Caenorhabditis elegans: one gene and its partners. The protein of the gene in region 1 binds, or shares a complex with, the protein of each later gene. Each region holds a gene or a part of one and is shown in the gene's direction. Other genes may lie near its edges.

Region 1 (9,661 bases):
TGGAACAATTCTTTCCGGGAATATTGCGGAAGCAGCCGACACATCCCGGGATCTAAGAAAGCAGCATTACACATTTTAGGTAGCAGCCGACACCTCATGGGTGCCCGTGGTGGAGCGGCCGACGCAATCCGGGCCCTGCTCCGCCGACCAACGCCGAAAAGAGTCGGCTGCTTTTCAATGGTTTTCAGAATAGGAGAATACGTTTTTTTTCTTAAAATAATTTTTTTCGGTTTTCCAAAACAAATTATGCATCTGAAAGCAAAATGCAAAGAAAATGAAAATAAAATCCTGAAATTTAATACCCAGATCCGGGTAATAAATTATTTAGAATTGGCCAATTGGTTTTCTTAACATTTTATGGAAGCAAAACTAATGAAGCTGACGTGGAACTTCCACTTTTTGCTCGAATTACCATATAAACTCGGCTGAACTTTGACTATGCGAAAGAGATGGGAGGGAAAAGCTTCTCACAAGCTTTAAGGGCTCATAAATCAACGGCTCTGCAGGATTGCGAGGGTCCCAGGAGTCTAGGTGAAATCTCGTGGCGGTTTTCGTGAGAATGTGAGGAATCGTGGACTGGGCTGGAATTTTTTTTTTTGAGCTTGGAGGGAACAAAATTGGATAATTAAGTAACAAACGTTTTGGCAAACTAGGGAAAAATAGTTGAAGCACAGCTAGGAAAACCAGGAAGGCGTTAGTTGCAGTGTTTTAATGGCCTGGAAAGTGTCGGTTGCTTGATTTTACGGGTCTGGAAAGTGTCGGCTGCTTGGTTATAAGAACCTGTGAGGTGTCGGCTGCTTTCCTGCAACTACCTCCAGTGCTTTTCGGTGCCAGTAAAACGTCGGGCACTTCTCTACAAACACCCCAAAAACAAATTAGCGGAATGTCCACCCAAAAATCCAATTTCCTGAACAGATTGAGTGCATTTGTCTAATTGTCTCGTCTCTTTTTATTTGTGGTGAACTTTGAGGTTTTTGTGGTAATCAAATTCTGAGAATTCGGGGTAAAAAACTCAAAAATAATCAAAATTTTCGCAAAAATTGAGGGCATAAAATTTCTTAAACTTGAGCCCACAAGTCGCACCCATGATATCTGGTATTTCTTTTTTTTTGAGATTGATGCCCTCTCCATGTCTATGTGCCTATTTTAGTACCACCACCACCTCACACACATACACACAAAAAGATGCGGATGAAAGATAGATTAAGCCTCTTGGGGGATCATACGGGAGGGAAAAACGAATGTGAGAAGAAGAATAATACAAGAAAATACCAAATAGGGGGTTTCACAATGCTGCCTACGCCTGCCTACCTGCACATATTTTTAAATTTTGTACAAGGAAATTCCCTCTGAAATAGGCAAATATTTGGAAGATCTGACTTTCATTAGACACAAGTAAGTTTTCAGCTTCATTTTGGTCATAGTTAGGCGTATAGGAAGGCGGCAGGCGTTTTGGCAGCCGACGATATACGCGTTCGCTGGAGTAGCAGCCGACGCTCTGCGAGGTTTGTAGAATGGCGGCCGACGCTATATGAGTCTGATGGGAAAGCAGACGACGCTTTCCGGGTTGTTTGGATTGCAGCCGACGCCTTGTGGGTCTGATGGAGTTGCAGCCGACGCTTCTAGTTTCTGATAGGGTGGCCGCCGACGCTTTTCAGGTTTGTTAGGGTGGCAGCCGACTTTATGCGGGGCTTATAGGGCAGCAGCCAATGGTTTTTCGTGGTAAACTTTTTTTTTAATTTTGAAAAGAAGTAGAAACAAGGAAAAACTCGGATAAGAAAGACTAGAATAACAAAACAAAACAAGAATTGGATAAAAACGACACGACAATCCCCGAGATGAATAATTTATTGCAAGTTGGTCATTGTCGACAAGGCAGAGATCAATTTGGCCGAAATTATAGTGAAAAACATGTCAAAATTAGAAATTAGGTAGACATGGGTGGGTACTATTATGACACCCCAAATGTGACCTTTTTTCATGCCGAAGGAGAAAACATGTGGGGAATAAGGAAGTGGTACCTTTTTATGGATATTCTGGGAAAGGTCTGAAAAGGCAAGATTCGAGGAAAATATGAGAATTAGGCCTGCCTGCTCAAAGACTTACAATACCTATAAGGCAACTTAGGCCTGCCTGCCTGCCTACATATCTGCCTGACTACTGCCTACACGCCTATGAGGTGACCTAGAATTTACTGTCTGTCTTCAGGAGAAACTGAGACCTACATGCTTGTCTATAATGCAACTGTCTGTTCACATTGCAAACTAAGGTCTGCCTGCCTGCCTATAAGGGAACCGAAACCTAATTTCTGTGCCAAAATCAGCTTTCAGCTAAAAATATTTACGTTTTCCTCCCCCGTGCCTGCTCTTTTTTCTCATTTGGGCCCTTGATTAAAAAAGAATAAAAAACAATAAAAAATGTTTTTTCGGGATTTTTAAGGCAGAATTTCGTCAGAAAATTCAAAAATCAGGTGATCACACTGCTACCCCCCGGGAGAAGCCGATTCTTCATATATCCACCGACAAAAACCGCCCGTCCCTGGGGATGATTTTATCAAAATTTTCGGGGAAAACTAAAAGGACAATCTTCAGGATTTCCCAAGAAATTTAGAAAAATTTTTGAAGGAAAAATAGGTGAAGCATGACGGGAAGCATAACCCTTTGTGTGGTACTGAATCAAATTTACACGTAGGTTAGTACTCTGTGAGTGCGAGAGAAATTTGAATTTAATGGGTTTTCACTCGTTTTTTATCAAATTTCAAGGTCCGGAAAACCGCTAGGAGGAAATTGAGGTGAAAATTCGATATATTTTTTCTAAAATAAAATTGGCGCCCAGGAGATCTAAAGATGATCTTTGTTCAAGAGTACGGCTTTCATAGTAGGCAGGCGCGGTTCAGGGCTTTCGCCTACCTGGAAGTCCCATTCAAAAGAGAAGAAATGAAGAATGGGCATCCCGATTTTTGGCGTGTAAACTTTTGGAAAATGTAGAAATCCATGGATTTGTTTCATTATTCATGGAAGAAACTTGGAGGTTTTGTGAAATTATACACATGAAAACCGATTGCCAAAAAACACAGGGAATGTCTAGAGCAGGGATGTGTAGCTCGGCAAATTTTGAAATTTGTCGCGCCTATGAATTTCTACCAGAAAATACCAAAGAAAGTATGCTAGATTGTACGGAAGAATTTTTTAAAAAATTGATAAAAATATATATGTATGCCAATCTACTTTTTTGGTATGCCAATCTATTTTTTGGTATGCCAATCTATTTTTTGGTATGTCAATCTATTTTTTGGTATGTCAATCTATTTTTTGGTATGTCAGTCTATTTTTTGGTATGTCAATCTATTTTTTGGTATGTCAGTCTATTTTTTGGTATGTCAATCTATTTTTTGGTATGTCAATCTATTTTTTGGTATGTCAATCTATTTTTTGGTATGTCAGTCTATTTTTTGGTATGCCAATCTATTTTTTGGTATGTCAATCTATTTTTTGGTATGTCAGTCTATTTTTTGGTATGTCAATCTATTTTTTGGTATGTCAATCTATTTTTTGGTATGTCAGTCTATTTTTTGGTATGTCAATCTATTTTTTGGTATGTCAATCTATTTTTTGGTATGTCAATCTATTTTTTGGTATGTCAGTCTATTTTTTGGTATGCCAATCTATTTTTTGGTATGTCAATCTATTTTTTGGTATGTCAGTCTATTTTTTGGTATGTCAATCTATTTTTTGGTATGTCAGTCTATTTTTTGGTATGTCAATCTATTTTTTGGTATGTCAATCTATTTTTTGGTATGTCAATCTATTTTTTGGTATGTCAGTCTATTTTTTGGTATGTCAATCTATTTTTTGGTATGTCAATCTATTTTTTAGTATGTCAATCTATTTTTTGGTATGTCAATCTATTTTTTGGTATGTCAATCTATTTTTTGGTATGTCAATCTATTTTTTGGTATGTCAATCTATTTTTTGGTATGTCAATCTATTTTTTAGTATGTCAATCTATTTTTTGGTATGTCAATCTATTTTTTAGTATGTCAATCTATTTTTTGGTATGTCAATCTATTTTTTGGTATGTCAATCTATTTTTTAGTATGTCAATCTATTTTTTGGTATGTCAATCTATTTTTTGGTATGTCAATCTATTTTTTGGTATGTCAATCTATTTTTTGGTATGTCAATCTATTTTTTGGTATGTCAATCTATTTTTTGGTATGTCAATCTATTTTTTAGTATGTCAATCTATTTTTTGGTATGTCAATCTATTTTTTGGTATGTCAATCTATTTTTTGGTATGTCAATCTATTTTTTGGTATGTCAATCTATTTTTTGGTATGTCAATCTATTTTTTAGTATGTCAATCTATTTTTTGGTATGTCAATCTATTTTTTGGTATGTCAATCTATTTTTTAGTATGTCAATCTATTTTTTGGTATGTCAATCTATTTTTTGGTATGTCAATCTATTTTTTAGTATGTCAATCTATTTTTTGGTATGTCAATCTATTTTTTGGTATGTCAATCTATTTTTTGGTATGTCAATCTATTTTTTGGTATGTCAATCTATTTTTTGGTATGTCAATCTATTTTTTGGTATGTCAATCTATTTTTTAGTATGTCAATCTATTTTTTGGTATGTCAATCTATTTTTTGGTATGCCAATCTATTTTTTGGTATGTCAATCTATTTTTTGGTATGCCAATCTATTTTTTGGTATGTCAATCTATTTTTTGGTATGTCAATCTATTTTTTGGTATGCCAATCTATTTTTTGGTATGCCAATCTATTTTTTGGTATGTCAATCTATTTTTTGGTATGCCAATCTATTTTTTGGTATGCCAATCTATTTTTTGGTATGCCAATCTATTTTTTGGTATGTCAATCTATTTTTTGGTATGTCAATCTATTTTTTGGTATGTCAATCTATTTTTTGGTATGTCAATGTAAATGCTGTATTTTTCAAAAATTCAAAAGTACTATAAAATCATATGAAGCGCTTCTTTTTTATTTTATAAAACTGTTTAGCATTGCCAAATATACCAGAAAATACCAAAAAAAGTATACTAGCTTGTCCGCAAGTATTTTAAAAAATTGATAGAAATATATAAAAGCTGTATTTTTCAAAAATTCAAAAGTGCTGGAAAATCATATGGTTCTAAATTACCAGATTATCCCAAATTTCATAACAAGATTTTCAAGACAATGTTCAACTTTTATTCATAAATTAATTGCTTCAGTTTGAATTATCCAAACTTGGATGGTAGGTCGAATCCCATGATGATATGTCGGTCTGAGGCAGGTCGAATATGGTTAGCTCGAGGTTTTCCAACAACCGACAAGATGGAGAGTACAGCAAACACTAAAACGCAATAAATGTTCATTTGAAGAACCGAAGTGAGGAAAAGGTTTGTGATCGGAAGGCTTTTATTCCACCCACATCGATAAAGTTAGTTCCGGGAGCGGGAGCATCAAAGATGTATGCTTCGATGCTTAAAAACCTTGTGATCATTTGCACGGAAAATATAAGTTTGCAAATACACTCAAATCATACAACGCAAGTCGAATTGTTAATGTTAGGGGTTCCAAAACGCCTGCCTGCCTGACCTTAAGGCGGCCTCCGCCTGCCTCTCGTGAGGCCCTGAAACCGTGCCTGCCTACCTAGCCTCAACTACCTAACAGAAAACTGCTCAATATGTAGGAGCATTTTGGACTAGAAAAATAAATTTGAAATTTTTTAATTTTGTCTCGCACTTCTTTAGAGTCCCGTAGATTAACTCCAATTTGGGATTTTTTTTTTTCAAACTTTCTACTTCAAAGTCCCATTTTATTAGGTCATAGATTTTCCATCTAAGCCTAAGCCTAGGAATTAGCCTAGGCCTAAGCCTCAGTCTAAGCCTAAGCCTAAGCCCTAAAAACTGAAAGGCCTGCGGCGCGATTAACAAGATTATAAGCCCAAAAAACAGAGTTTGAATGTTCAATATTTATCAGTAATCAACAGAAACTGCACAAAAATTATTGTGGACGTGGTGCACCGATGATGACTCCGCTTCCGTATCCACTGCTTCCTCCGCACTTCTTTCCTCCTTGTGGCAAGAAGATTCCAGAAACTGAAGAAATAGCCAAGATGGCGAAGACGCAGACAGAGTAGACGTTCATGATGATGATGAAGAAGAAGAAGATGCTTCTGATGCTTGAATTCTGGAAGAAGTTGGCTTTTATAGTACCGTGTAGGGGGCGGGTGGGGGGTTCGGGGACATAAAATTGTTATATTTTAGTTGCGATTTTGATGATAACTCGTAAAAATTGAAGTTTGAGCGTTTCGGGGAAGCGGAGAGGCTGCAAAACTTGCAAAAATCGGAGTCAGGAACAGTTGAAAATTCAACAAAACGAATTTCCCTGAAAATCTCTAATTTGAATTCCCGCCAACGAATTGTCTGCGTCTCCACTCTCTGGGATGTGGGCGAACGCGCTCCACTGCACATTTCGATTCGATTTCTCTTTTTTCTCTTTTGACGCATTTTCACATAATTATTGTATTTTTCGAAGTTTTCTGCGGGTTTTCTCCGATTTTTTTCGATAAAATTAAATTTTAAAATTCGGAAATATAATATTTATCAATTTTAAGCCATGAAATATCGTAAAATTCCTATGTAATCACCCATAATAGGATTTTTATCGATTTTTTGTTGCAAAAATCCCATTTTCATTGTTTTTCTTTTCCTAAAGCTAATTGAACTTTGCGGCTAATTTACACGATTAACTTATGAATTTTCAGAATCAAAAAATGGGCAAGCGCAATCTGGACGAGACAATGAACGAGTCGACCGTATCAGAAGCCAATGGAGACGCCACCGCACCAACCACCGAGAAGGACGAGTACCAGGCACTTTGCGAGCTGGTAAATCATTAATTTCGCTGGTTTTTTAATGAAAAATGTCTTATTTTCAGGTAAACCCAATCGCTCAGCCACTAGCAAACCGCAAGTTGGCCAAGAAGGTGTACAAGCTCATCAAGAAGGCCTCCGCCGGCGATAAAACCCTCCGTGAGGGCATCAAGGACGTGCAGAAGGAGCTCCGCAGAAACGAGAAGGGAATCTGCATTCTTGCTGGTAGGATTTTAATCTATTTTTCCCTTAAAACGTTCAATTTTTCAGGAAACGTCTCTCCAATCGATGTGTACTCACATATTCCGGGAATCTGCGAGGAGAAGGAGATCCCATACGTCTACATTCCATCTCGTGAGCAGCTCGGACTCGCCGTCGGACATCGTCGCCCGTCGATTCTGATCTTCGTCAAGCCGAGTGGGGACTTCAAGGAGCTGTACGACGAGGTCGCCGAGGCTCTCCGTCATCTCACCGTCGAGGCCGCCTAAATTGTTTTTTCTCTGGTTTTCACTGTTTTTTTTTTGTTGTTGATTTTTTAAAATTTCTTGATCTGTATCACCATCTTTATCCACAATTGTTCACTCATTAAATTGTTGTTATCTACAGACTTTTTCTTTTTATTCTTTAATCCTTTCTCGGTAATTTCCAAAACTCAATTTTGTTACTCGAAATCAATCTAAATCACAGCAAATCCCGTTCTAAACCACTTTCAGCTCAGAAAATGCTCGCCGAAACGCTTGTGGCGCCCGGCGACAAGGTTCTCGACGCGATTGGTGAATATCGAATGGGGAAGGGATTATACGAGGCGAATCGAAGGATCTTCGCGTCGGTAGCCGGTTTTGTCAACGTTTATGGATTCAGAGATGTAATTTTCGCACAAATCGCAAGCGTGGAGCCCGAAAATTTCCGTTTTTTCTGCAGAAATCCGACAACCTGGTGCAAGTGATCGAAGTTCGCCGCAGCGAAGATCAGCTCGACAATGAGCTTCTCCCATTCCACGGAGCCATCGTCACCGCCAAAGTGATGGCTGTCGGATTACGGTAGAGCAGCTTTTCGTTGCTCTGAAAACCGACAGAAAATATTGCAGATTCGCCAAATGTGACATCATCAGTATCGGCGATAAGGTTTACAAGAAGCGGTTCTCGGCGCTGCTGCCGAAAAAGAAGCTGAGGCCGCTGGAACCTGAATTGGTTGGATTTTGCCTGGATTGTGGGTCTCGCCACGAAAAAATTAAGAATTTCTGCTTACAAATGTGGGAAAAACCTTTTTTTTAGCAGAAAATTAGGTTTTTTTGCGAAAATTCTTATGAAATTTCGCATAAAAATGGCCGATTTTAAGGTTTTTTGCAGAAAAGTCGTCAAAATTCCTGATTTCTTGTGGAAACATCGGAAAAACATTGATTTTAGACTGATTTTCACTAAATTTCAACTGAAATTCTCGGTTTTTTACTCAAAAAACAAATTTCCCTCTTTTTTCTTATTTTAAAGCGATTTTCGAGCAAAATTTTTTTTTAAACATTAGATATGGGCCGAAATCGTGGCGAGACCCAAACTGAGAACCCAAGTAGTGTATCGCACAGAAAAAGAGGCGGAGCTTAAATTCGCAACCCTGCGGCACGGGGTTTCCTTCCTTTTTCGCATGTTTTACACTGATTTTTGTTGATTTTTTTCAATGAAGTTTAGATTTTACTAACTAAGAAGTGAAATTTTAAAAAATCAATAAAAAATGCAGTAGAAAACTGGCAAAAAGGTGGAAAAACCGTGCCGGAGGGTTGCGAAATTACGCTCCGCCTCTTTTTCTGTGCGATACTGCTTTAGAGGCAAAAAATTGAAATAAAGAGCATTTTTTGCAGAGTGAGCCATTCAAAAACTTTGTGCGACCCAACGACTACATTCTGGCAAAAGTTTGTGAAGACGCCGAAATCAAGGACAAATTCGTTTTATCGATCGCCGAAGACGAGCTAGGCGTTGTGCTGTGCCGTGGACGATTTGGTGAACCAATGCAAAAAGTCGACTGGAATACGGTGGTCTCGACACGAACCGGCAAAACGGAACCCAGGAAAATGGCCAAAGTTCCGCAAAAGTGCACATTGCCCACGCAATCGGTGGCCTGAATAATTATCCTCTCTGAAAAGATCTTTGAATCGTTATATTTTTGTACTTTTTTTTGTGTTTTTGGGGGCCATTGTTTCGAGGAAAAAAAAGTCATAATTGTTCCCCCACTCATTCCTTCCTTTTTTGTTGAACAATTTTTCAAAAAAAAAAAAATGTTTCTCGGTTTTTTTTTTTCAACTTTTCAGGTTCTAGAATTTTTAGTTTTTCCATTTTTCCGGCGGAAATTTTTTTTATAATTTCAATTTTCAAAAAAGAGTAACTGAAATTGTGCGAAAATTCAAATTAGCCCAGTAACCGCGCCCTATTGAGAATTTACCGGTCTCGCAGCGAAATGTTGACTTTTTTCTTTTGAATTGCTTATAAACCAAGAAATTCGGCGATTTTTGTGAAAATATAAAGTTTTCGGTCTGGACACAACAAATTTTTGTTAAATGCAAAAAGGTGTGCGCCTTTAAAGAGTACTGTAGTTTCAAAATTTCGTTTCTGCCGAATTTAAATCGATTTTCCAAATTTTTTCTCACGATTTGTTTAGCTTTTTGCTAAAAAAAACATACGTTTTCATCAAAAAACTGTGAAAAATCTCTCAAAATTATGCGACAACTAAAGTTTGAAGCTACAGTACTCCTTAAAGGCGCACACCTTTTTGCATTTAACGAAAATTTG
Region 2 (10,167 bases), on another chromosome or scaffold:
TTTGTAATGATAATTTCTAGAAAAAAAGCCTATAGCGGTAAGAAATTTTGGAAAAAGGCCTATTTCTAGGGAAAATCTCAAATTTTGCAAAAGTATCGCAGCGGGCGGAGCTTGATTTTTTTGTTGGATTTTCACCCTTTAAGGCTTATTTTAATAATTTTTTCAGCTTTTATTCGGCGATTTGGGTATATTTTAGGTTGCTAAGATCCGCAAGTTTTGACTATGTGTAGTTGGCAAAATTTTAAATTTTAAATAAACGCATGCCATTTTTTCAAAACTTTGAAATTTTCAGAACAACTCATTACAAAATTTGGATGTTTTGGGGGTACACCAATTTTAATAATAATAATAATAATAATAATTCCTGATTCATATTTTTACTGTTTCAAACTTTTTTTGTAAGATTATTCAAAATAATAAGAAGTTATTAATTTTACGAAACGGTGTGACTAGAACTTTCAAAAGAGTTGACTTTGAAAATTTGACCGCCCGAAATTTTGCGACTTTCATCTGTAGAAATTTTGTCACTTTAGCCGGGGCAGTACTCAGAAAACGTCGGACGTTGGAAACATACATTTTGAAAAAAAATAGATTTTTATAGGCATCATGGTGTTTGTACACTATTTAACATTTTCTACATTTTTTGCAACTTTTCTTTAAAGGTGTTTCCGGGCAATTGGATTTTTTTAGATATTTGCGGCAAGGTAATTTTAAAAATATCTCATTTTCTCTAAAGCGGGACATTGTTCTTACTATTTATAGTTTCTTAGAAAACTGAACGTAATTATATGGATCAGACATGATGACTGGCAAGTTTAATGAATTTTCATATAAATTTTCACAATAAGCTTTGTTTGATAAAAAAGTCTGTGGGAACGGTTATTTCTGTTTCAAAAAATTTTCATAAACTGTTAATATAGCTGAAAATAAAAACATACTGTAACGGCAAAACCTAGAGAAAATTGTTGCTTGAAAGACATGAGTCAAAAATTACTGTTTCACAGAATGCTGAAGTTTTTTAGCAAACTTATACACCATTAATTCAACATGGTGCTCCTTTAATTTATAAAACACATTCAGAGGCTAAAAAACTGTTCATTGGAAAAAATAAGCGTTCGTTTGAGTTGTTTTTCTGAACTCTGAAAAATTAATTTACTGTTTCACACATTTAACATAAATTTTGTCTCCATTTTCCATGGTGTAATCGACTGTTACATCTACGGATTCAAGATATTTCAGAAAAGGAAGAACTAATGAAAGCTGCGTAAATCTCTAAACTGATGTACCAGAATAATTGCAGGGTGAAATTGAGAATAAAAGAAGGCATTCGAAACTTTTAAAAGTGCATTTTCAACATAACAAAATAAATCAAATTTCGTAGGGAACAAAATGTGGTTCGTTCTAAAAATTCTTTGTGATAATAGGGCATGTCTGAAACAGGCTCCAATAAGTTTATTGAATATTGACCGGTTTTTTAATTTCAAACCAAACAAAAAAAAATTTTGTTGAAAAGATTTTAGACACTTTTACCCACTGTTTTACGTATTCTATTTTCCTCAACTCTATTGAAATCAATTATTGGAGTTGTTTCAGTCAGGTCGTCCTGTTATACTACTTCGGAACATCCCAAGACTCTTCAAAGATCTGCAGCAATATGAAATAGACCTTTCTAATTCCTTCTAAATCTCTGTATACCTATCAAATTTCCTCAAAAGTCTTATTTAGAGACTCCCACAACTACTTGCACCCTATACAATTCCCAGAAACACCAAAATCTGACTTACTGAACGATGACGAGAACAATCAAAGCAACGGAGAGCACTGACGACGACTTCATATTCGGAGCACAAGAAGACGAGACGTTAGAGCAATAGCAAGTGGAAGCTTTTTCCCGTTTCTCAGTCTCTTTTAAACGAAGATGTGGGCGGAGTCTCGGGGTAGGAAGAAATTAGAATTTTTGTTAGAGTCTGTCTCTAGAATTGATGAATAAAAATTTAAAATTCCCCCGGATCTTGGAATCAACGCAAAAAAATATAAAAGATTCTGTAAGAAATTTCTTTAAAATATTAATTTCAAATTCGCCGCGATTTGCGAAGTCAATGGAGGAGTACGGTAGGCGTGTGAAAATGACGGAAGATGAGTGAAAAGAAGTATATTCAAATAATTAATGAAAGCTTTTGATCTGTCCATTTGTCATCGAAAAACACCCGTCCGTCCACCCACATTTTTCGCCGAATTTTTGTGGGAAATTAAGGGCTCTGATAATGCAAATTATGGATAATTTTGTATAAAGTTTTCTAGACATTGGTTAGCGATTTTAAAACTACGAAAAAATGAAATGACAAAATAAATAAGTACTTGCACCTGACTATCATACTTTAACAGCTCATATCTCAATTCATTCAAAACAGTTTACAAACTGTAAAATTGATAAATTTTAGAAAATTAAATAATCAATAAGTTGCCAGTTGACAGTTGTTCAAAAATTTAAAGACAACCAAGTTATAACTTCTAAAATTAATCAATGCCTCGATGTATTAGATACAATATTTTGAAAACATTGTTTTCGATGAACCACAATTTTGTAAATAGTGTATCAGAAACAGTGTTTTTTTTTTTCGATTTTTTACAAATTTTTCTGGGAGCTTTTGTAAGACTCCTACTACTATTTTTATGGGAAATTTTAGAAAAGTAAATAGTCAATTAGTTGTCAGTTAACAATTTTTGATATAAAACAAAAAATAAAAAATGAGCTTCGAATATGGAGCAAGTGTACAACTGCTAGAAAAATATGTGGACCTTTCTTTTGCGACACATTCTTTTTAGGAAATTTGCACTGTTCTGTGAAAGATTTCAATCTGAAATATGAATAGAACAGAAGAAATAATATTGATTTTCCTGAAATTAACCGAATGTTTAGTTGAAGTTCTTGAGAAGTTGTTCAAATACTGGCTCAATTACAATATTCCGGGTACATATGCATTTTTAATAACTTTTAACGAAATTTAAGAATAATATCAAAAATATGTTTCAATACTTCTCATAAAACTCTCAATCAAAATAAGAAATACCAATTCGAAAATTCGAACATTGTTAATCAGAAAATGGTAACTTTATAAATGTTTTTTCAGAAACATTGATTTTTTTTCAATTTTTTCAAAATTTCAAAACTTTTTTCTAAGAGTTCCACATGACCGTCTACCGTCTGAAAATGTTTTTTTTTTAATTTTTAGATGGAGAAGAATACTTTTACAGTCAACCTAAATAAAAAAGAGTACATAAACCCGCAAAATCGGAATCTAGGAAATATTTAAAAATCGCACAATAAACCACCAAAGTTTTGAAAATTTTTCCTTTACGATTTTTACTTCTGTTTTAAATACTCAGTTTTTCTCCAATATATTTCTACGTATCCTCTTTTGTTGTATTTTTCCCGTTCGCATGCAAGTCGAAATTATAGGTGTCCCATTCAACTCACACTTCCTTCCAATGACACCTTTATAAAAAGTCAGACAATGGCTTCGTGTCGAACCTTATTTTTATTTCAATTTCGGGTTTTCATCGTCATTGGTTTAGCAGAAACAATTAAATTTGCACGCTCAATTGGCTCGCACTTTTATGGTCGAAAATCAACATTTGAATAGGCGCCAATTGAGTGACGTGTGGGTTTACGATAAACAGCACGCTTTCCGTCATTTCGGAGTGTCGTTGGAAATAATTATTTTTATTTTCATTTCGAATGAAAGCTTTTTTCAGTTTCTTTGTTTAATTTAAGTTTATTTAAATTTGGTTATTTGCAGACAAAAAAAATTTAAAAAATGAGTTTCGAAGTCACCGGTCCACCCCTCGTATCACCATGGATGATGTTATCAATGTCCGAAGCAAGAAATGATATTGATGAGACAAAAATTGTTATTCCAGGACATTCAGTTTGTGATGCACCGCAACAGTTTATGAGGTATGTATATTGTAAAATACTGTTATATCTTTTTGAAAAATGAAAAAATTAAGATTTTCAGAGGACATGGAACTTACGTTCGCGACGGAGAAATCGTCAGTTCTCTCTCTGGAGTCGTTCAACAATTAAATCGACTGTTGATGGTTAAAACTATTAAACAACGATATGCTGGTGAAGTCGGAGATGTTGTAGTTGCCCGTGTCGTGGAGGTTCAAGCAAAACGGTGGAAGGTTTCAAATTTTTAAGTGAAAAATATAACGATAATTGTTTTTCAGTGTGATGTGGCATCTCGTCTTCATGCAAATCTTCCACTAGGTTCAGTTCTCCTGCCAGGAGGAGACTTTCGCAGAAAAGATGTAGAAGATGAGGAGAAAATGAGCGAATTCTTGAAAAACGGAGAACTGATCTGTGCAGAAGTCCAACAAGTCCAGCACGACGGAACACTTATGCTACACACAAGAAATAATAAGTACGGAAAATTGCAACAAGGAATATTGATTAAGGTAATATTTTATAAAATCTTAAGAAAACGCAATTATAAATTTTTAAATAATAGTTCGGAAAGTTGTTATATTTCTTTAAATTCATCATCCAATTGATTCCAATTAGCTCACGTACGGCGTCTTGCTCTAAAAGCCTCAGAAGTTTTATTCAATTCTCGATCTCTGTACTCAATCACAGGATCTTGATCCTTCTTTGCAGTTGGATGCAGTTCAACAGTCTCGACGCCATAACGAAGAATACAAAAAATTACAAGCAACGCAGCAATGAGAATCCATTGTGTATAAGCACGCCATTCGGGAATTGGGCTCTTTAATAATAATTTTCTATTTCAAAAAAAATTAATGAAAAGCTAACCTCCGTGATAACCATATTTGCACGTTCATCGAGTCGGTAGATCATTGAATCGAGCACTTTTGTACGAATATCCTCCGCCTTTTCAAAGTGTTGAGTTTTCTCATTCTTATGCGACATCTCGTTCAAAGCAATATTTCTTTTTTGTTTATGCTGCCAAAATAAATAAAGCGACAAAAAAATCCACAAAATGAGTGGGAAGTCACGGAATTAATTTCTTTTTTTTGCAGGTTCCTCCACATTTGATCAAAAAGTCCAAGAAACATTTTCACACGTTACCCTACGGAATGGCTGTGATTATTGGCTGCAACGGAAGTGTGTGGGTCACGCCGTCGTTGCCGGAGACCACACTTGAAGAGGATGGATCACATGTTCACGAGTTTCAGGTGTGATAGTGATTCTTGAGAAAAATGAATCGAAAATAACAATTAGCGCACATATTTGGTGACTCAACAACGAGAAATTATAATAATTCCAATGATTGACGAGACCTTATAATTTATTCATCATACTCGTGATCATCATAATCGAAAAGAAAAACAAAAAAATTTGGCTTTTTTCGCAATAAAATAAATTTCAGATTGTACCTCCCGACGTACGCGTAACTATGGTCAGAATCGCTGCCTGTGTTCGTCTTCTTCGTGATTATTCCATCTCGATCTACCTCAATTCACTGACAACATGCTATGAAATGAGTCAGCCTTATGAAGTATCGATTGTTTCTTCAGTTTTAAAAAATTAGAAAAATAATTTCAGATCAAAGAGCTCGCCGAGCAAGACACGTCTTCTCGACTCGCCTACCTGATTGCTGCACGGCTTCTACAGGAACTTCAACAGCAGAAGTAATTCTAATTGTTTTGAATGATCTCTCCCTATTTAAAATTTACCTTTTTTGTTGCTGTTATTTCTTGTTGAGTTTCTTATTTACCATTTCAATTAAATAAAACTTTTTACTTTTTCGGATGATATTAGCTGCGATACAAAATCTGAAAGTTTCGAAAGAAATGGTCCATACCCTGAAATTAAACGATCGACCCGTAATCTTTGCAAACCCAAGGTCGCACAGAAATTTTTTTGATCTAGGAATTGTTTCAATTGAACTCCACATTCTAACTTAATGACCGAACAATTTCAGTGAATATACTTCGATTCACACTATCCGCTTTTCAATCCACCAAGTGAGAATCGAGACGATTTTCTGGAAAGTGTTTATTGTGATTCAAAAAAAACCAGGAAGAATTGAAACATTGACCAGAGGAAAACAACAAAAAGGAAAAGAGAGAGCAGGCATGGGACAGACATTCAGTGAAAGCTCAAAAATTATGCTGCTAATTAGCAGACTTCTAACCTAAAAGGATGCATATGAGGTGTTGGGCACAGTAAAAATGGGAAAATATAACAAAGGATCGAATGGTAAACGAGGATCGGATGAACGTTTCATAGAAAACAATGTGAAGTTAATTCGAACTTCTAATTCTCGATGGTGAATAACTTTCGATCATATTATGGATTAATAATGGGAAAACAGCTCCTGATATAGAATCATGGAAAATACAATGTTAGAACTTCTTAACCGGTACAGAGAAAATTGAATGAGGGGGGGTTTGATTACGGGTATGATGGGACTGACAATATGAGAAAGAATGAGGAGCCACGCAGGCATAAGAAATATGACAGATTGAGAGAAGCTGAAGAGGGAGATCATTCATGGAGAGATGTACCAATTGGAACCTTCTTTGTACGACTTCTCGTTGTTGCAGTTGGGCGCGGTGGGAATCAATGGGTACAGATAGTAAACCCATCTGGAAAAAGAGATTTCAGAGTTAATTCATTGATTTAGATACTCACTGTGGATATACGAGCTCCTCGAATTCCTCCATAATGCCACAGATACTCGAATCGTTGGAGTTGTTGGTACCGTTCTACAAAAATACATTACAACTAATAATCGATGAAACTTTTCTGGTACCTCATTATCGATAATCAGGTCCTGTGCGACAGGCTCGTTGATTCTTTGCCTCTCCACTTCTATTCGAGGCTGTGCCCTCTGGAACGGAATCGGCGCAACGGTGGGTGCTGTAGTTCTTGTCCTTCTATCTTGTGGCAATCTCTGAAACCAAGATCAGTCTCGTAACGAAAATATGAAGAAAATAAACTCACTGGACCGGGAGTAGCCGACCGACGCGAATTGCGGGATGTCTGAGCATTTCGGGACTCGTTCATCAGCTAAAACAAGAAAAATGAGATCTTTTCGTTGTACTGTGACACTCACTATGATTTCGTCCGGATAAGATGGCCACGAGTCTGGCGATCCAAGCGAATAAGCACCTGTAGTCACCCAGTCGTTCACCCTGAAGAATGAATCAATTAGGAGCATTCAAAAATTAGTTTCATACGTTTGTTGCCTGACGACCTCACTGACTGGAACGCTCCGGATTTTGTCCGTGTATGTGCCTTTGCTGAAAGGAAAGTACTCGAAAAAATGGCATTTTGTTAATTTCAAATACCTCGGGGAGTGCTCTTCTCTTGGCTTAGAACTCCAATTCTGTCTCGTTTGATGACGTCCTCGATAGTTTGGCATCTGAAAACAATGGAAAACGTTTTTTGAGCTTAATAGGAGAAAAATTAGGTGAATTCGCACAAAAAATGAGAATTCAAAACGTTTCGAAACCAAGCAAACAGGCTACAGTAATCAAAGGCGCAGTCAGTAAACTAAATTTAGGTATCACCACGGGTTCGCGAATTTCACTTGCATTTGCGTATTTTTAAAACATATTACTTTCTAAAACTACTTCTAGCAAATAAACTTATTGCCAGTTTTGAAATGAATAAAAAATTTACTTTAAAATGAAAAGAAAAGCTGCATTTAGTCAAAAATTATTTGAATAATTTTCAGCTTTTGTAATTGCGTGGTGAGACCAATGGGTTGCACCAATCCGATGTACCTTTAATTACGCATCATCTGCATTCTTTTTTTTGAATTCAAAAATTAAACTTTGCCCTAAAAATGTCTTCAAATTGTTTTTTGCAGATGGCGCCTTTGGAAAATAACTACAACGAGTCGCTCAACAAATCGAAGGATGCCATTGATGATAAAGTTTGTTTCATGGTTTTATGCTTATTTTAATTTTTTTAATTTTAGACATGGTCCAAACTTTTCCCAAGCATTGTCAGCGACCCGGATCGATCGTCCAATTTTATGATCAGGGCAATCTACGTCGTGTTTTCGGCTGTTCTCAGGCAACGTAACATTCTCGAAAAAGAATATTTCTCGAAGAATTACATCACTGGTAATTGTTTTTCTTATCACATTGTATTGTAAATGTTTTTTTCCAGAAAATCTGAGTTGCATGACGCTGAGCTTCAAAAACCTACGGGCTCACCAAATCGCTCAACTACTTCGAGCCGCCGGGGATGCCACAAAGGATGGGTTTCTGAAAGAAATCTCCCTCGTGGTGACCGAGCATGACGGAGATGTTGAAGCCATCGAAGTGTTCTCTATGAAGTTCATTTATTTTGAGAATGGCGGCGTGGTTGCTCGTCTGAGCACTGACAACAATGACCAGGAAGATCCTCACTTCGCGGAGCTTGCTCAACTTCGATATGAGGGTGCCGAAAGTGTACGGGATCAAATGGTGACGATTGTTCGCAGTGTTCAGTTCCTCTGCACGAAAGTTCTCGAACCGTTGCCAGCAGAATTCACGGCTAATTTTCGATTGAAGTACACAAACGATGCTCCATCCAATTTCCGCATCGATGGCTTCGACGATTCTTCCACTTTTTACACACTTCCTGATGGTATCCAATCGGTCACCATTGGTCACTTACGCCCGGGACACCACGCTGCACACATGCAATGCTGGAGCAAGTCGATGTCCGATTCATACGCAGCAGAGTTGACTCTCAAGGGACATCTGGACAAAGTTTCCGATATGTATGCATTCAATCCAGTGAATGTGCTGTATAAATCGTTCAATTCGGAGGACACCGACCCAGGTCTTAGTCAGGATACTACTGAATCTGCCAACGATCAAGGAGGAAACGTGACGTCTCCGGTTGATAATATAACCGTTAGATTAAATAGTGTTGTACACATTAACAAACAGTTTCAATTTGTAGGATTCTCTCGAGAAAACACAAATGTCGCCTATCAAGATGAGACCAACTACTCGCAGAGGAGCCGATGACAGCAAAACCAGATCTTCTCCATACTCTCGCTCCCGTAAATAATTTTTCTCGTTGTGTTCATTAGTTTACAGCTTTATCCTGTAACATGGCATGTTCTATATCATCATGTACAATGTTTTATTGTCTAGAGTTTTATTTTCCTTTTTGCTCCATTTTGTATCCTTGGTTTTCTTTTTAAAATTACAGTCATTCGTAAATAAATTGACTGGTGTTGTTAGAATTTTTCCCACGTCCCAGTTTCAGGATACTTGAATGTATTCCATAGTTTCCATCAATTGGCCGATCTAATTGTATGAAGGATTCGTATTCTTTTGCTGAGTCCCGCTCCGAATATCTTTTGGCATTTAAATCTAAAAATTTTCTGCAATAAGCACCAGGAACCGGACATGCTTCATGAGCTCATAATCATAACTACTAGCTTCTGCTAATTCTGCAGTCAACCCGAGATCGTAACCATAAGTCGTGGAACTGAGTTCTTGAAGTTTGTAGATGCCCGCGCCACTGATTCGGGTCATGAATCCGCGTTGCAGTTGAAAATATTCTATTATTATATTTAATTTTGTTCTTTGATTTAACAAAAAAATAGCGCTCAAATACGCTTAAAACAAGAATTTTTCGTATTCTGTGCCAAAATTTATCAATCGTGGCGAGACCTATAGGCTTAACGTCGAAATGCGCCTTAAAATTCTACAGTACTTTATTTCATTTTGCGCGGGAAATTTTGGGATTTTAGTTTTAAAAACGCGCGAATTTTTGCATTTTGGTTCCTGATTTCTTCATTTCTGCTCATTTTTTGCCTTCGAGGACGTTTCCCAAAATTTTGCTCTCATTTTCATTAATTCTATCGTATTTTCCACGTATTCCGTCCATTCAAACGACCATTTTTCCCAAAAAAATATTTTCAGTTAGTCTCCGTACCAATATGAGTCAAAGCACCGGTTCCTCTAACCTCGGTCGCTACCACGAGAGTCCGCCAACGACGGAGGCTCGCAATGTGTCCGGAAAAAACACATTCGGCGGTTGCTTCAACTCGAACAGCTCCAACATTTGGACGCCGAACCGGAATGTGGATTCTTCGATGGGATTTCAGCGCGTCTCATCGACACCAAAGAATGCTTCGACTCCGTATCGTCAAGGATTTGGAGGACAATTTTCCAAATGGCGGA
Region 3 (12,613 bases), on another chromosome or scaffold:
TATTTATTCAATTTGACTTATTTTTTTCCAGACTCGAGAGCGTATGCGTGAAGAAGCTCGCAGATTCCTACAATTTGTTCCAGTGAAAGAACCTCGCGAGGAGAGTGTTCAGATCCTCGCCAAAGATCTCGAATTGAAGGATTTTGACACTAGCAAATTCGTATTCACTGATATCACTTTCGATGCGACCGACCAGGATCGTACTGTAGTCGTGAGAGAACCCGATGGTACATTGAGAACTGCGAATCCAGAAGAACATGATCGAATGAACAGAACTTATTATCAAAAACCGAATCGTTCTGTGAATCCTCCACCACTCTTCTCGGATCCAAATCTACAAAATGCTCTTGATAAGAATGATCACGAATTCGTTCTAGACTGGGCTTGCTGGTTTTACGAGCCTGACGATCCGGCCTATGTTCGTTTGAGTCAACTCGTATTTGATCGTATCAATGAATCTGGTAAATTCCATGTCGTAACCTCAACTCGTCACTTTGGACCATTCACTTTTTATTTGGCACTGAACGATAACATTCAGAAGCTTTTGAACTATTTTGGTGGACTTGGAAGATTATCCGACTGTGCAAATCTTGTGAGACTTCAGAAGGCTGTTCGTCCCGATTGGAGAGTTACAATTGCTCAGGGAGATTCTGATGAGAAGATTGTAAAGGATTTTGCGAAGCAGAATGCTCGATTCCGAGATGAAATTCAGGATCTTTTGAATTTTATCAACAATGGAAAATTGAAATCAGATCAGGAGCAGACGGAGCACGTGAGGGAACGATTTGGAGTACGAGTGGACAAGAGAAAAGCACGCATCACTTCAGCCAATATTCGTGGAGCCGATGGACCACTTGGTGATTTGAGCAGTGAATATTCGGTGAAAGTGGTGAAGAGTGAGGGAAGTGGACGTGAAGGAGGAGGAGGTGAAGAGAATAAGAAAGATGAAGGAGGACGTGGTGGTGGAAAAGGACGATGGAGAAGTAGGGAAAAGAGATCAGATGATGATGGAAAGAAAAAAGAATGATGCTTTCTAGATAGAGATTTAAAGTGAAAATTGAAATAATTTTTGTATTTATTAGGATTTTAGCTATCTATTGTTTTTTTTCATTGTTTGTTTTCATTTTATTCTTTTTTTTTTAATTCTCGTTTTTTTGTTTTTTTTTCTATGAAATTTACAGATTTTGAACTTTTTTTTCAAAAAAATTGATTAGATTGGTTGATATCCCATCCACTTGTTATTTGTTAATCTTGTTAGAAACATTTTTTCAATCCACATTTTTCAGGTTAAACCATGGTGACGCATAGAAGAAAAGGAGGCAGTGGTCCGCCACAGAAACCACCGCCAAGAATAGTTGATCGATCTAGTTTTGAGTGAGTTGAACACATTTTTGAATTGAAAAACCCTTTTAAACTACCAGGTTTCACCCAAAAAAAAAAGCAAATGTTCAATTTATTGGAATTCGAAAAATTGAACATCGGAAAATCGAAGAATAAAAACTTTTGAGTATTCTAAATATGGTTTTTTAAACCTGATTTTTAAGTTGATTTTGATGAAAAAAAAATTAATTTATGTAAAATATCGAGAAATGACAGGAAATTATTGATTATTCGATTTTTTGCGAAAAGCGACATTTTTCAAATTTTTTTAAAAACTAGATTTATCAAAAATTTAATATTGATAAGAAAACAACGAATTTTTCTTTAAAATATTAAGAAAAAACCGGAAATTGTTGAAAATTCGAATAGTTTTTTTCGCGGTCAAAACAAAATTTTTAGATTTTTAGAAATCGGTAACTTTAGAAAAAAGTATAGAACATGCACGAAAAATATGAAAAAAATCGAAAATTTATGATTTTTTTAAAAGCTAGTTTATAAACTACCCTTGTTTCGAACTAAAACCATTTTTTTTTTCTAGGAAAAACACAAAAATTTTCAATTTTTGAAAATCGGAAAAACGAGAAAAAAGAAGAACGAAAAATATTTTTTAAAAAATTGATTTTTTTTATTTTTTCAGCGCCGACAAAAAGAAGATAAAAGTCGAAAAACTATATCACAAAGCCAACAATCCAGACAATGACTGGCCATTTTCCTTCGGTTCAGTCTTCAAAATGTTGCTCTCAATTCGAATTTCCGGTGCAATATGGGGTATTATCAATGATTGTGATGAAGTCTACAACTATTGGGAGCCACTTCATTTGTTTCTTTACGGAGAAGGATTTCAAACATGGGAATACTCTCCCGTTTATGCCATCCGATCGTATTTCTACATTTACCTCCACTACATTCCCGCGAGTCTTTTTGCCAACTTGTTCGGTGACACTAAAATTGTAGTTTTCACTCTTATTCGATTGACAATTGGTTTATTTTGTTTGTTGGGAGAATATTATGCATTTGATGCCATTTGTAAGAAAATCAACATTGCAACTGGCCGATTCTTCATCTTATTCTCAATTTTCTCATCTGGAATGTTCCTGGCAAGTACTGCATTCGTTCCATCTTCATTCTGTATGGCTATAACTTTCTACATACTTGGAGCATATCTCAACGAGAATTGGTAATACAAACTTCACTTTCTAAATTAAAAAAAAACGGAATTTTACGATTTTTGCTCCGAAATTACTGTACCCGGTCCCGAAGCGACCAGCTTTTTAAAAAATTTTAGAATTCAAACTAGCATGGGCCTTTAAAGATTACTGTAGTTTATAACTCCCCGTTGTCGCGGGATTAGATTTTTTCACAAAAAAAAAACCGAAAAATTGAAAAAAATTTTAATCGAATTTTATTTATTCTGATAAGAAAAACATATAATTCAATTCTACAAAGAGGAAAAATGACCAAAATTCAAAATAAATTTAAAAAAAAAAAACGATTTTTTTTGAAATGAAACATTTGTCGAAATTTTGGAAAACGGAAAATCGAATATCCCACACCCTTGTTGAGAACTACAGTAATCCTCAAAGGCGCACCATTTTTTCCATTCAAAACATTAGTCGCTTCGAGACCGGTTACCGTATTTCTGGAGCAAAAATAGAAAATCTTCGCGCTTTAGAATTATCTATATTCTTCTTATTACAGGACAGCTGGAATCTTCTGCGTCGCTTTCTCCACTATGGTTGGCTGGCCGTTCTCTGCTGTCTTGGGGCTTCCGATTGTTGCCGATATGCTTTTATTGAAAGGATTAAGAATTAGATTTATTCTGACATCGTTAGTGATTGGATTATGTATTGGTGGTGTGCAGGTTATTACTGATAGTCATTATTTTGGAAAGACTGTTTTGGTAAGTAAATTTAATTTCTAAAATTTAAATTCTAAGTTAATTAAATCCTTTAAGGCCCCATTAAACATCTTCCTCTACAACGTTGTCAGTGGTCCTGGTCCATCACTTTACGGAGAAGAACCGCTCTCTTTCTACATCAAAAATCTCTTCAACAACTGGAATATCGTCATATTTGCTGCTCCATTTGGCTTTCCTCTGTCTCTTGCCTATTTCACAAAAGTCTGGATGTCTCAGGATAGAAACGTGGCACTCTATCAAAGATTTGCACCAATCATCCTATTGGCTGTCACCACTGCCGCATGGCTTTTGATTTTTGGAAGTCAAGCTCATAAAGAAGAACGTTTCCTATTCCCAATTTATCCATTCATTGCTTTCTTCGCTGCTCTTGCATTGGATGCCACGAATCGACTGTGTCTCAAGAAATTAGGAATGGATAATATTCTCAGCATTCTCTTCATTTTGTGCTTTGCAATTCTCTCGGCATCAAGGACGTACTCAATTCATAACAATTATGGATCTCACGTTGAGATTTATCGATCTCTGAACGCAGAGCTGACGAATCGGACGAATTTCAAAAATTTCCATGTAAGAGTTTTATAAATTTCAATGTTTTTATTTTTTCGAAAACTCCCAGTTGTTCAGGATCCAATTCGTGTATGCGTTGGAAAAGAATGGCACCGCTTCCCTTCATCGTTCTTCATTCCACAAACAGTTTCTGATGGGAAAAAAGTGGAAATGCGATTTATTCAAAGTGAATTCCGCGGACTTTTACCTAAACCATTCTTAAAATCGGACAAGTTGGTGGAAGTTACACGTCATATACCAACAGAAATGAATAATCTGAATCAAGAAGAAATATCGAGATATGTGGATTTAGATTCATGCGATTATGTGGTTGATGTTGATATGCCACAGTCGGATAGAGAACCTGATTTCAGGAAAATGGTAGGGGTTTTGAATATGGAGAAACGTAAATGGAGATTTTATTTCAAAAAAAAAATCATCTCAAATTCAGCGACAAAACTACAAAAGAAAAACAAAAAAAAAATGGAAAAGAATTGAAAACGCGATTCTACAATTTTGGCTAAATTCCCTGTTTGAGGAAATCAAATTTTTAAATTCAAATTTTCATTCTTTCCCATTTTTTTTCGTTTTTGACAATTTTGGATTATTTCAAGCATACTCACACTACTCCTTCCTGTAGAAATGTTCTTAATATATAATTGTAAATTCATATCTATTTTTAGGAAGATAACTGGAAACCAGTGGATTCGCTTCCATTCATCGATGTCTCCAAATCAACAGGATTCCATGGGCTTCTTCGTGCATTTTATGTTCCATTCCTTTCTGCCAAACATAATGTCATGACGACATGCACTTTATATCGAAAATCAAATTTGTAAAACATGTATTAAATATTTATTGTTCACTTTGTCTGAACGGAATTCAGATTCAGGGATTCCGATTTCATGTTAATTTCGGGTTTTTTCTTTTAGGTCACCTTCTTTAAATTTAATTTATTCTTCTTATTTATTGCCTGGAAATTTTTAAAATTTGTATTTATCGTTAATATTATTTATTACCAAGAAATATTTTTTTTACAATTTATTCTCATTTATTGTTTTTCTTTTCTTGGTTTCAAGTCAACGATTTATTATTTTTCTTGATTTTTTTCTAAACTTTCGTTTCTCAAGTTCAAAGAAAATTTACAGAATGTCAGGAGAAGAATCAATGCCCGATGAAGAGCAGAAGCAATCTGAGGAAGAAGAGGAAATGATAAGAAAAAGAACGTTAGCGATGAGGAAAAAAGTCGAAGAAATTATGAGAAATGGCGCCGGGCTTGTTCGTGAATCAAATGGTTTGCCGAAAGCTGGTGCGGATTATGAGCTCTACAACTCGTATCCGACATTCAACACGTTTATGAAGCGATCCGAGCAGAGATTGAATGCACTGTGAGTTGAGCGTCTGAATCCGAAAAAGCTCCGGAAAATTAAAAAAAAATTTAATCGACATTTTTTTAAGCCAAAAACACCAAAAAACATTTTTTTTTCTCCAGAAACACAAAAAAAAAGAAACTTTATTTCAAAAAGCTTAAATATTTTCATCAAACATGCATTTTAAGTTTTAAATTTTGAAGTTATTTTGGAAAAAAACTTTAAAAAAAATTATTCGCCAAAAACTACAAAAAAACTACAAAAAATTTCAAAAAATCGAAAAACGAAAAATTTTCGATTTTTTTTCAATAGAAAATTTTCCGTTTTTTCGATTTTCCGCTATTTCGAGATTTTTAAAAAATTAGCTTTAAAATTTGGTATTTTTGCTTCTTTTTAGAAGAAATTGTCATGTTTTTTCTCATCAATATAAACTAAATTATTTGAAATAAATCATATTTTATGGTGAATTTTTTGAACTTTTTTTTTTGAGTTTTAGGAAAATCGAAAAAAAAAACGAACATTTTTGGCTTTTCTATTTTAAGTTAAAAACATCGAAAAAATCGGAAAACGACATTCTTGGCAGGGCCATGTTCAGAGAAAATTTCATTTAAAAACAAAAAACTTGAAATTCCATATTTTCAGCATGAACAAAGTCACCAAGTCAATAGGATGTGCAATGCGAGTTCCAGATGTCGGTTCATCAGTCGAACATTACACAGAATGTGTTATCGAGGCTCAGGACAACATTGCAGAACGTGCAGCAACTCTCCATGAAGCGCTGAAAAAAGCCGAGCTAGATGAGATAGTCAAAGTTCCAGAATTCATTACAAAAGCCGCCCCAACAAATCGAAAAACCGAAGCAGAAGTTTCAGCGGCAATGAGAACGTTTTCAGCGAATATTGGAACGGTTTTGGCGGAGAAGTTTAGAGAACGAAGAGAAGAAGCTGCTCAGATGGTTGTGTTGGAAAAACCACAGAAGACGTATAACATCAGTTCGGACAACTCACAAGCTCCTTTTTCTTCTAAATTGACTGTTAAACATCATGCCATTGAAAAACGAACGGGTATTGTTCTCCACGATGACGATGAGTCTGGAAGAAGAGATTGGATAAGTGCTGAAACAGAAACTGAAGAGGAACATCCATATATCGCTGAAATTCTTCACTTCAAAGTTCCAGAAGCTCAGCTGAAATCTGCAGAGTGTTTAAAATTCACAGCATTGAAGGATACTCCATTGACAATGATTGATACTAAGGAGAAGCTTGAAGCATTAACGAAAACTTTGAATTCTGTAAAAGAGTTCGCAGTCGACTTGGAGCATCACCAAATGCGATCGTATCTTGGATTGACCTGCCTTATTCAAATTTCAACAAGAGATGAAGACTTTATCATTGATCCCTTCCCAATATGGGATCATGTTGGAATGCTCAATGAGCCATTTGCAAATCCACGTATTCTCAAAGTTTTTCACGGTTCTGACAGTGATGTTCTCTGGCTACAAAGGGATTATGGAGTTCATGTTGTTAATTTATTTGATACATATGTTGCCATGAAAAAGCTGAAGTATCCTAAATTCAGTCTTGCCTACCTCACTCTCCGATTTGCCGACGTTGTTCTGGACAAACAATATCAACTGGCTGACTGGAGAGCACGGCCTCTACGAAATGCGATGATAAACTACGCGAGAGAGGATACTCATTACCTTTTGTATAGTTATGATATGCTCCGAGAGCAACTTCTGAAACAAGATACCAAGGATTTGGCCAACGTCTACTCAGAGTCTAGCGATCTTTGCATAAAAGTATACAAGAAACCAGTGTTCAATCCGAAAGGATATTTGACGGAAATAAAATTCCGATTCACACTGAATACTCGACAGGACTATGCACTTACACATCTTTTCAAATGGAGAGATGTAGTAGCTAGAGCAGAAGATGAGAGCCCACATTTTGTACTTCCAAATCATATGATGCTATCACTTTCTGAGACATTACCACGAGATGTTGGAGGTATCTACGCGTGTTGTAACCCGTTACCGTACTTTGTGAAACAGCGAACTGGTGATATTTTGAAGTAAGTTTTGAGAATTGTGGGAGTCCCAGCATTTTCCGAAAAATGAAAATTTCGTAAATATAAGCTCCGGGACTCAAAAGACCTCATAATAAATATTCTAATTATAAAATTACAGAATAATTGTGGAGGCCAGAGATGTGAAGCTTGAGAAAGTGGGATTGTCGGCGAAAGAAAGAAATGATGCACAGGAAGCACGAGGTGTAATGAACGATACTATGGATCATATCACTTCAGTTTTAAAATCAAAAATCGACTTTTCACACACTAGATTTGACGAAGAACGCGGAGAAATTTATATTGATAAGACAGATGAAGGAATGGATATCGAGCTGAAAGATCATAAAGAATCATTGTTATCAGTGCTCCAAACGGCTGAAATTCCAAGTGTGGAAACTATGATTGTTGTGGAAAAAGGAAAGAAATCGGATAATCAGAAAGTTAAAAAGTTGTTGAATGAACTTGACAAATTTGTAACTCCATTTGAATGTTATCAAATGATGATGATTACAAAAGAAAAGCAAGAAGAAGAAGAGAGAAAAGAGGCTGAGAGAAAGAAATTGGAGGAAGGTGATCTACCGAAGACTATGTTCTCACATCATGATGCTCCGATTAATAGAAAACCTGAATTCGATGCGAAGGTTGGTAGATATAATGAAATCTGAAAAAAATCGTTTTTTTTTTTGGGAAAAACCGAAAAAAAATGTCTGAAAAGAAAATTCCAAAATCGGTATTGCTCATACGGAATTCAGAGATTGCTTTATTCTTAAAAAAAAATTTTCGGCGGAAAAACGTACAGATTTGATAGAAAATTTTTTTTTTTCGATTTTCTCTGAAAAAAATTTAGTAAAAAAACTTTAAAAAAAAATTATCTGAAAAAATCACTAAAATCTTTTTTTAATTTTCTCTGAAAAAATAAATAAAAATGAATTTTTTTTCGATTTTCTCTGAAAAAATCAGAAAATAAAACTTCTTTTTTTTCGATTTTCTCAAAAAAAAAATAAATGAAAAAAAATATATTTAAAAATTCCGATGACATCCTTGGTTTTAATAAGATAATTTTCAGCTTCTAAACGTTGATACACTGAAGCTGGTCCCAGATGATCCGAACAAGCCGAAAGATCCAGAACCTTCACCAATGGAAGAATCTTCATCGGAACCTCAAATCTTCGATCCATCTCGTTTTACCGACGACCAGCTACTGTCAAAGAAGGCAATGAAAAGAAAGAGAGATGCTGCTCGACGAAATATAGATGTTTCTGTTGTGCTCGGCGAGTCGTCGAGTAGTTCAGATCCAAAAAAGAAAAAATCTGATGATGATGCTCCCGTTGAAGATTTTGATTATGAAAAAGCTGATAGTAGTGCATTTGGTAAGTTATATTCCTTTGAATTATCCAGACGCGAGATTTAAGGCTAAAAATACGGTACCAGGTCGCGACAACTTGCAAAATGGTGTGCGCCTTTGAAGAGTACTGTAGTTTCAAATTTTCGTTACTGGGAAATTTTCTTCGGTTTTATTTTAGTTTTTTAATAAATAAATTTAAAACTAAAAAAAATTCCGCAGCAACAAAAGTTTGAAATTACAGTACTCTTTAAAGGAGCACACCAGGGCTGGGACAAAAAATATTTTTGAACAAAAAACCAAAATTGAAATTTACGAATTTGCGAAAAACGAACAAAAACCAAAAAAAGTTGATGCTTGAATTTATTTTTCAAAAAAATCGTGAATATGTGAAAATGTATTGGTTTTTCAAAAAATATTTTTGTTGGTCTGAAAAAAAAAACAAAAAAATCAATTTTTCGTCAAAATACAAGAAATATTTCAATTTTTGTTGAATTCCAACAAAAAAACCCAAAAAAAAATCAATGTTATTCGTCGAAGTGCCAATAAAAGCTATTAAAAAACCCAAAAAAAAAAATTCAAAATACCAAAAAAAAACACCAAAAAATCAATTTTTCGTTAAATTCCAAAAAGAACCGCAAATTTGCAAAAAAAAAACGTTTTCTGGCTCAAAATTTGGATAATACCGTACCCAATTATATAGCTCTCAAAAAAGTCTCGAAATCAAATTCCTAATAAATTATTTCCAGAAAAACCTGTTCGAGACAACAACGCCGATTTCGATCCATTCCATCAAAAATATCGATTGAAGAACAAGACAAAGAAGAATATGGCTATGAAAAAATCATCGAATCGACAAGGAACCATCAACTACAAAAAATGATTAAATTGTTACATCCCATCCCATTACCATTGTTATTTTACTTTTTGTTGTTGTGCTTTTTCTTTTGCTTTGAAATTAAAGAAAACTGTTTTTGAAATCTTTTTATTTATTTATTTTTAATTCAATTTGGTTTTCCACCAATTTCAGTTATATTTTCTACAAAATTCATTTTTGTGATTAATTTTGATTTCAGATATCCCCAAATGGCCGGCAGACTTCGTGAAATGCGTTGTGAGCTCTCGTTCCTCAAAAACGCGGATGGCTCGGCATGCTTCTCCCAGGGTGCCACGTGTATTTGGGCTTCATGCAGTGGTCCTGGAGATGTTCACGCTTCGAAAGCAAGTGATGAGGCTATGACTCTGGATATTAGTTATAGAGCAAATTGTGGAGATAACAAGTTCAATGTGGTAGGGGTTTTTGTAGAAATTACTTTTGGAATAATTCTTTTTTCAGCTGAACAATATCATTCATTCTACTCTATCCAATGCAATCAATCTCGAATTGTTTCCCCACACAACAATTTCTGTCACAGTACATGGAATTCAGGATGATGGAAGTATGGGAGCTGTAGCGATAAATGGAGCTTGTTTTGCTCTACTTGACAATGGAATGCCATTCGAGTAAGTTTTTTTAGATACTGTTTTAAAACTGTAATATAATTTTTCAGAACAGTCTTCTGTGGTGTCCTTATTGTTCGTGTCAAAGATGAGCTGATTATTGATCCGACAGCAAAACAAGAAGCTGCATCGACTGGAAGAGTGCTCTTTTCAGTGTGCAAAGGATCCGATGGACATCCAGAAGTGTGTGCGATGGACGCTATAGGACATTGGGATTTTATTCAGCTGGAAGCCGCGTGGTCATTGGCACAACCATCTGCCAGTGCTATTTTTGATTTCTACAAAACTGTGATGAAGAGGAAGCTTTCGGTTGATGAGCAATAGATTATCAATGTTTTGTTGTTGTCGTTGTTGATTTTAATTTTTTATTTAATTTTGAATCCATTGTTTTGTGAGATATTAAAATCTTAAATTTCAAAGTCGAAGTTTTTGTAGAAATGTGACAAGAGAAGGTATTTAGGTATTTAAGAATAGGTTAAGCTTCAGATCCATAATTTGAATATTCGTAGACTCCAGCCGGATCTGAAATAAAAATGGTGAATTTTCAAAATAAGAAAAAAAATCTCACTCAAATGATGTGATCCATTATTCCATCTTCGAACATTTACAACCAGATTGAACACGTGGATGAGTGCAATAATAAAACAAAAAATTGCGACCACCAAAAATCCGAAATCATCAGTCACTTCTTCACTACTAATCGATATTGCCATGGAGATAACATAGCAAATAATTGCAAGAATCGATCCAATACATTCCTAGAAATTCAAATTTCCGTGTAGTTTCACGTGTGCCCCATCGATGCCCGAACTTACAATTGCTGCATACGGTAGCATTCGAATCGCCATTATTGAGATATCGTACTCCTTGAGAAGTACTGCAATTGTGCAAATATCGAAGACGATGGAGCATCCAATTGTGAACCAAATTACTGACATTCCTGAAAAAAGAGGTTTTACGAGAAATTTTAGTACAAAAATCGAACCTGGTGGTCGGAACTTGATGGTTCCAAGGTAGATGAGTAGTGTCAAAGATCCCAGCTAGAATTATTTTATATTTTTATATTACATAGGCGTCTAAATATGATAATTTTTGCGGATGGGTCTCGCCACGCGAATAACGAGTTACTGTAACTCTGTGCCTACGAAGGATGGAGGCCCGTAAATCGACACGAGTTACAGTAACGCGATTTTCGCGTGGCGAGACCAATGCGCGAACATTCGCATCAGACGTCTACGTATTACTAGAACATAAAATTCTGAGACTGCGTATTGCGCAACATATCTGACGTGCAAAATAAACTTCATCAATAAACTATGAAAACATCGCAAAATCGGACCAGCGCTACAATAGTCATTTAAAGAATTACTGTAGTTTTCGCTACGAGATATTTTGCGCGTCAGATCTGTTGCGTAATACGCATTCTCAGAATTTAGTGATCTCGTAATAATAGAAGAATCTTAGGCCATCGAGATAGCCCCGTGACCAAATTTCAGGTGTCACATCGTGTATTCAACTCACCAATGACAAAATCTTGACGAGTTCTGGGATTTTCTTGAATCTTGACACATTCAGTGGCATTTTTTGGTCTTGTTAGATATCTGAAATCAATATTTAATATTTTATTCGTATGCACATGGCTATATAAAATTTGAAATAACGAAGTTAAGTTCACAAATAAATAATGAGGCGAGAATTGGGGGGAGAGTTTCTATTCTGTTTTCGGTTACTGCATTCAATGGGCTCTTATCAGGAGCGTAACTGATAACGTTTGATGCTCTACTCTACAGGTTTATGCAATTCACTGGGAGAGGTGTAGATGGTGAGAGAGTGCAGAGAAACGAGAGTGTCTGCTTCTGTGATGTCTCCACAATTTATTTAGGGGGTATTTTAAGGATATTTTGACAGCTTTCAGGGGAACCAAATATTAAAGGCACACTTCGTTATTCTGAGTAGGTCTTGCCACGATTTCAGGCATAGTGGTCTCTAAAAGCGCCAAACTTTACACAATCGGATACTGTTAGATTACTATCAATTACAGTAATCTCCAATCACAGTAAAGTTTTAGAATTTTCAACGCTACCAATTTTCAGATTCAAATGATTTATTTTACAAGTTATTAATTTTGAACAGAACATAAATAAAATTATTGGAACTAAGCAATTGAAGTGCCGTTGTTTTCGTAGTCAGCGTTGCTTGGCCGACCTGTAAAAGAAATGAAAATATTTTTTCATTTAATTCTGATATGTGAAAAAATAGAAAAAGTACTCACCTGGAAAGTGAACATCTTGTCTCAGTTGTGGCAATGATTTGAAAATACACGCGATTCGAACTCCGAAGATCAGGAAACAGAAGAACTTGAAAATTTTAGGAATCAATTTTTAAACAATTTTTACAAAGATTGATTTGGTTATATTTTCATTTCATTTTTGGACGATGAAAAAGTGTTGGAAGTTTTTTATTTGAAGATTTGTTGCTTATGTTTTT

What was found.
Region 2: exos-1 (region 1) and exos-2 share a complex: the UniProt entries of both Caenorhabditis elegans proteins name them as parts of the RNA exosome complex.
Region 3: exos-1 (region 1) and crn-3 share a complex: the UniProt entries of both Caenorhabditis elegans proteins name them as parts of the RNA exosome complex.

What each region holds. Positions count from the first base shown.
Region 1 is NC_003281.10:11,001,446-11,011,106, forward strand, and holds exos-1 (Exosome complex component CSL4 homolog), read left to right. Parts: upstream 1-7,597; 5' UTR 7,598-7,605; coding exon 7,606-7,749; intron 7,750-7,805; coding exon 7,806-7,924; intron 7,925-7,971; coding exon 7,972-8,074; intron 8,075-8,736; coding exon 8,737-8,997; 3' UTR 8,998-9,161; downstream 9,162-9,661. Other genes in the region: fipr-17 (FIP (Fungus-Induced Protein) Related), read right to left, coding at 6,014-6,157; Y48A6B.3 (Putative H/ACA ribonucleoprotein complex subunit 2-like protein), read left to right, coding at 6,786-6,899, 6,950-7,109, 7,155-7,372. UniProt on the Caenorhabditis elegans protein: Non-catalytic component of the RNA exosome complex which has 3'->5' exoribonuclease activity and participates in a multitude of cellular RNA processing and degradation events. Involved in regulation of antisense ribosomal siRNA production.
Region 2 is NC_003282.8:6,411,685-6,421,851, forward strand, and holds exos-2 (Exosome complex component RRP4 homolog), read left to right. Parts: upstream 1-3,793; 5' UTR 3,794-3,818; coding exon 3,819-3,958; intron 3,959-4,019; coding exon 4,020-4,188; intron 4,189-4,233; coding exon 4,234-4,461; exon of another isoform or gene 4,462-4,568; coding exon of another isoform or gene 4,569-4,769; intron 4,770-4,816; coding exon of another isoform or gene 4,817-4,933; exon of another isoform or gene 4,934-4,969; intron 4,970-5,043; coding exon 5,044-5,199; intron 5,200-5,393; coding exon 5,394-5,522; intron 5,523-5,569; coding exon 5,570-5,659; 3' UTR 5,660-5,776; downstream 5,777-10,167. Other genes in the region: nlp-71 (Neuropeptide-Like Protein), read right to left, coding at 1,785-1,837; Y73B6BL.22 (Nitrogen regulatory IIA protein), read right to left, coding at 4,569-4,769, 4,817-4,933; Y73B6BL.23 (uncharacterized protein), read right to left, coding at 6,519-6,615, 6,662-6,735, 6,783-6,923, 6,974-7,039, 7,086-7,164, 7,210-7,272, 7,321-7,394; htp-2 (HORMA domain-containing protein), read left to right, coding at 7,845-7,910, 7,956-8,103, 8,150-8,883, 8,933-9,043; puf-11 (PUM-HD domain-containing protein), read left to right, coding at 9,924-10,167. UniProt on the Caenorhabditis elegans protein: Non-catalytic component of the RNA exosome complex which has 3'->5' exoribonuclease activity and participates in a multitude of cellular RNA processing and degradation events. Involved in regulation of antisense ribosomal siRNA production.
Region 3 is NC_003280.10:10,583,050-10,595,662, forward strand, and holds crn-3 (Exosome complex component 10 homolog), read left to right. Parts: upstream 1-4,992; 5' UTR 4,993-4,993; coding exon 4,994-5,232; intron 5,233-5,856; coding exon 5,857-7,287; intron 7,288-7,402; coding exon 7,403-7,925; intron 7,926-8,350; coding exon 8,351-8,654; intron 8,655-9,375; coding exon 9,376-9,509; 3' UTR 9,510-9,603; downstream 9,604-12,613. Other genes in the region: mrps-22 (Mitochondrial Ribosomal Protein, Small), read left to right, coding at 32-1,027; Alpha-1,2-mannosyltransferase algn-9, read left to right, coding at 1,295-1,374, 2,018-2,557, 3,079-3,280, 3,335-3,865, 3,923-4,225, 4,528-4,683; crn-5 (Exosome complex component RRP46 homolog), read left to right, coding at 9,713-9,916, 9,963-10,129, 10,177-10,450; C14A4.6 (MARVEL domain-containing protein), read right to left, coding at 10,602-10,648, 10,695-10,884, 10,942-11,066, 11,112-11,166, 11,648-11,707; C14A4.7 (MARVEL domain-containing protein), read right to left, coding at 12,282-12,331, 12,399-12,483. UniProt on the Caenorhabditis elegans protein: Catalytic component of the RNA exosome complex which has 3'->5' exoribonuclease activity and participates in a multitude of cellular RNA processing and degradation events. Involved in apoptotic DNA degradation.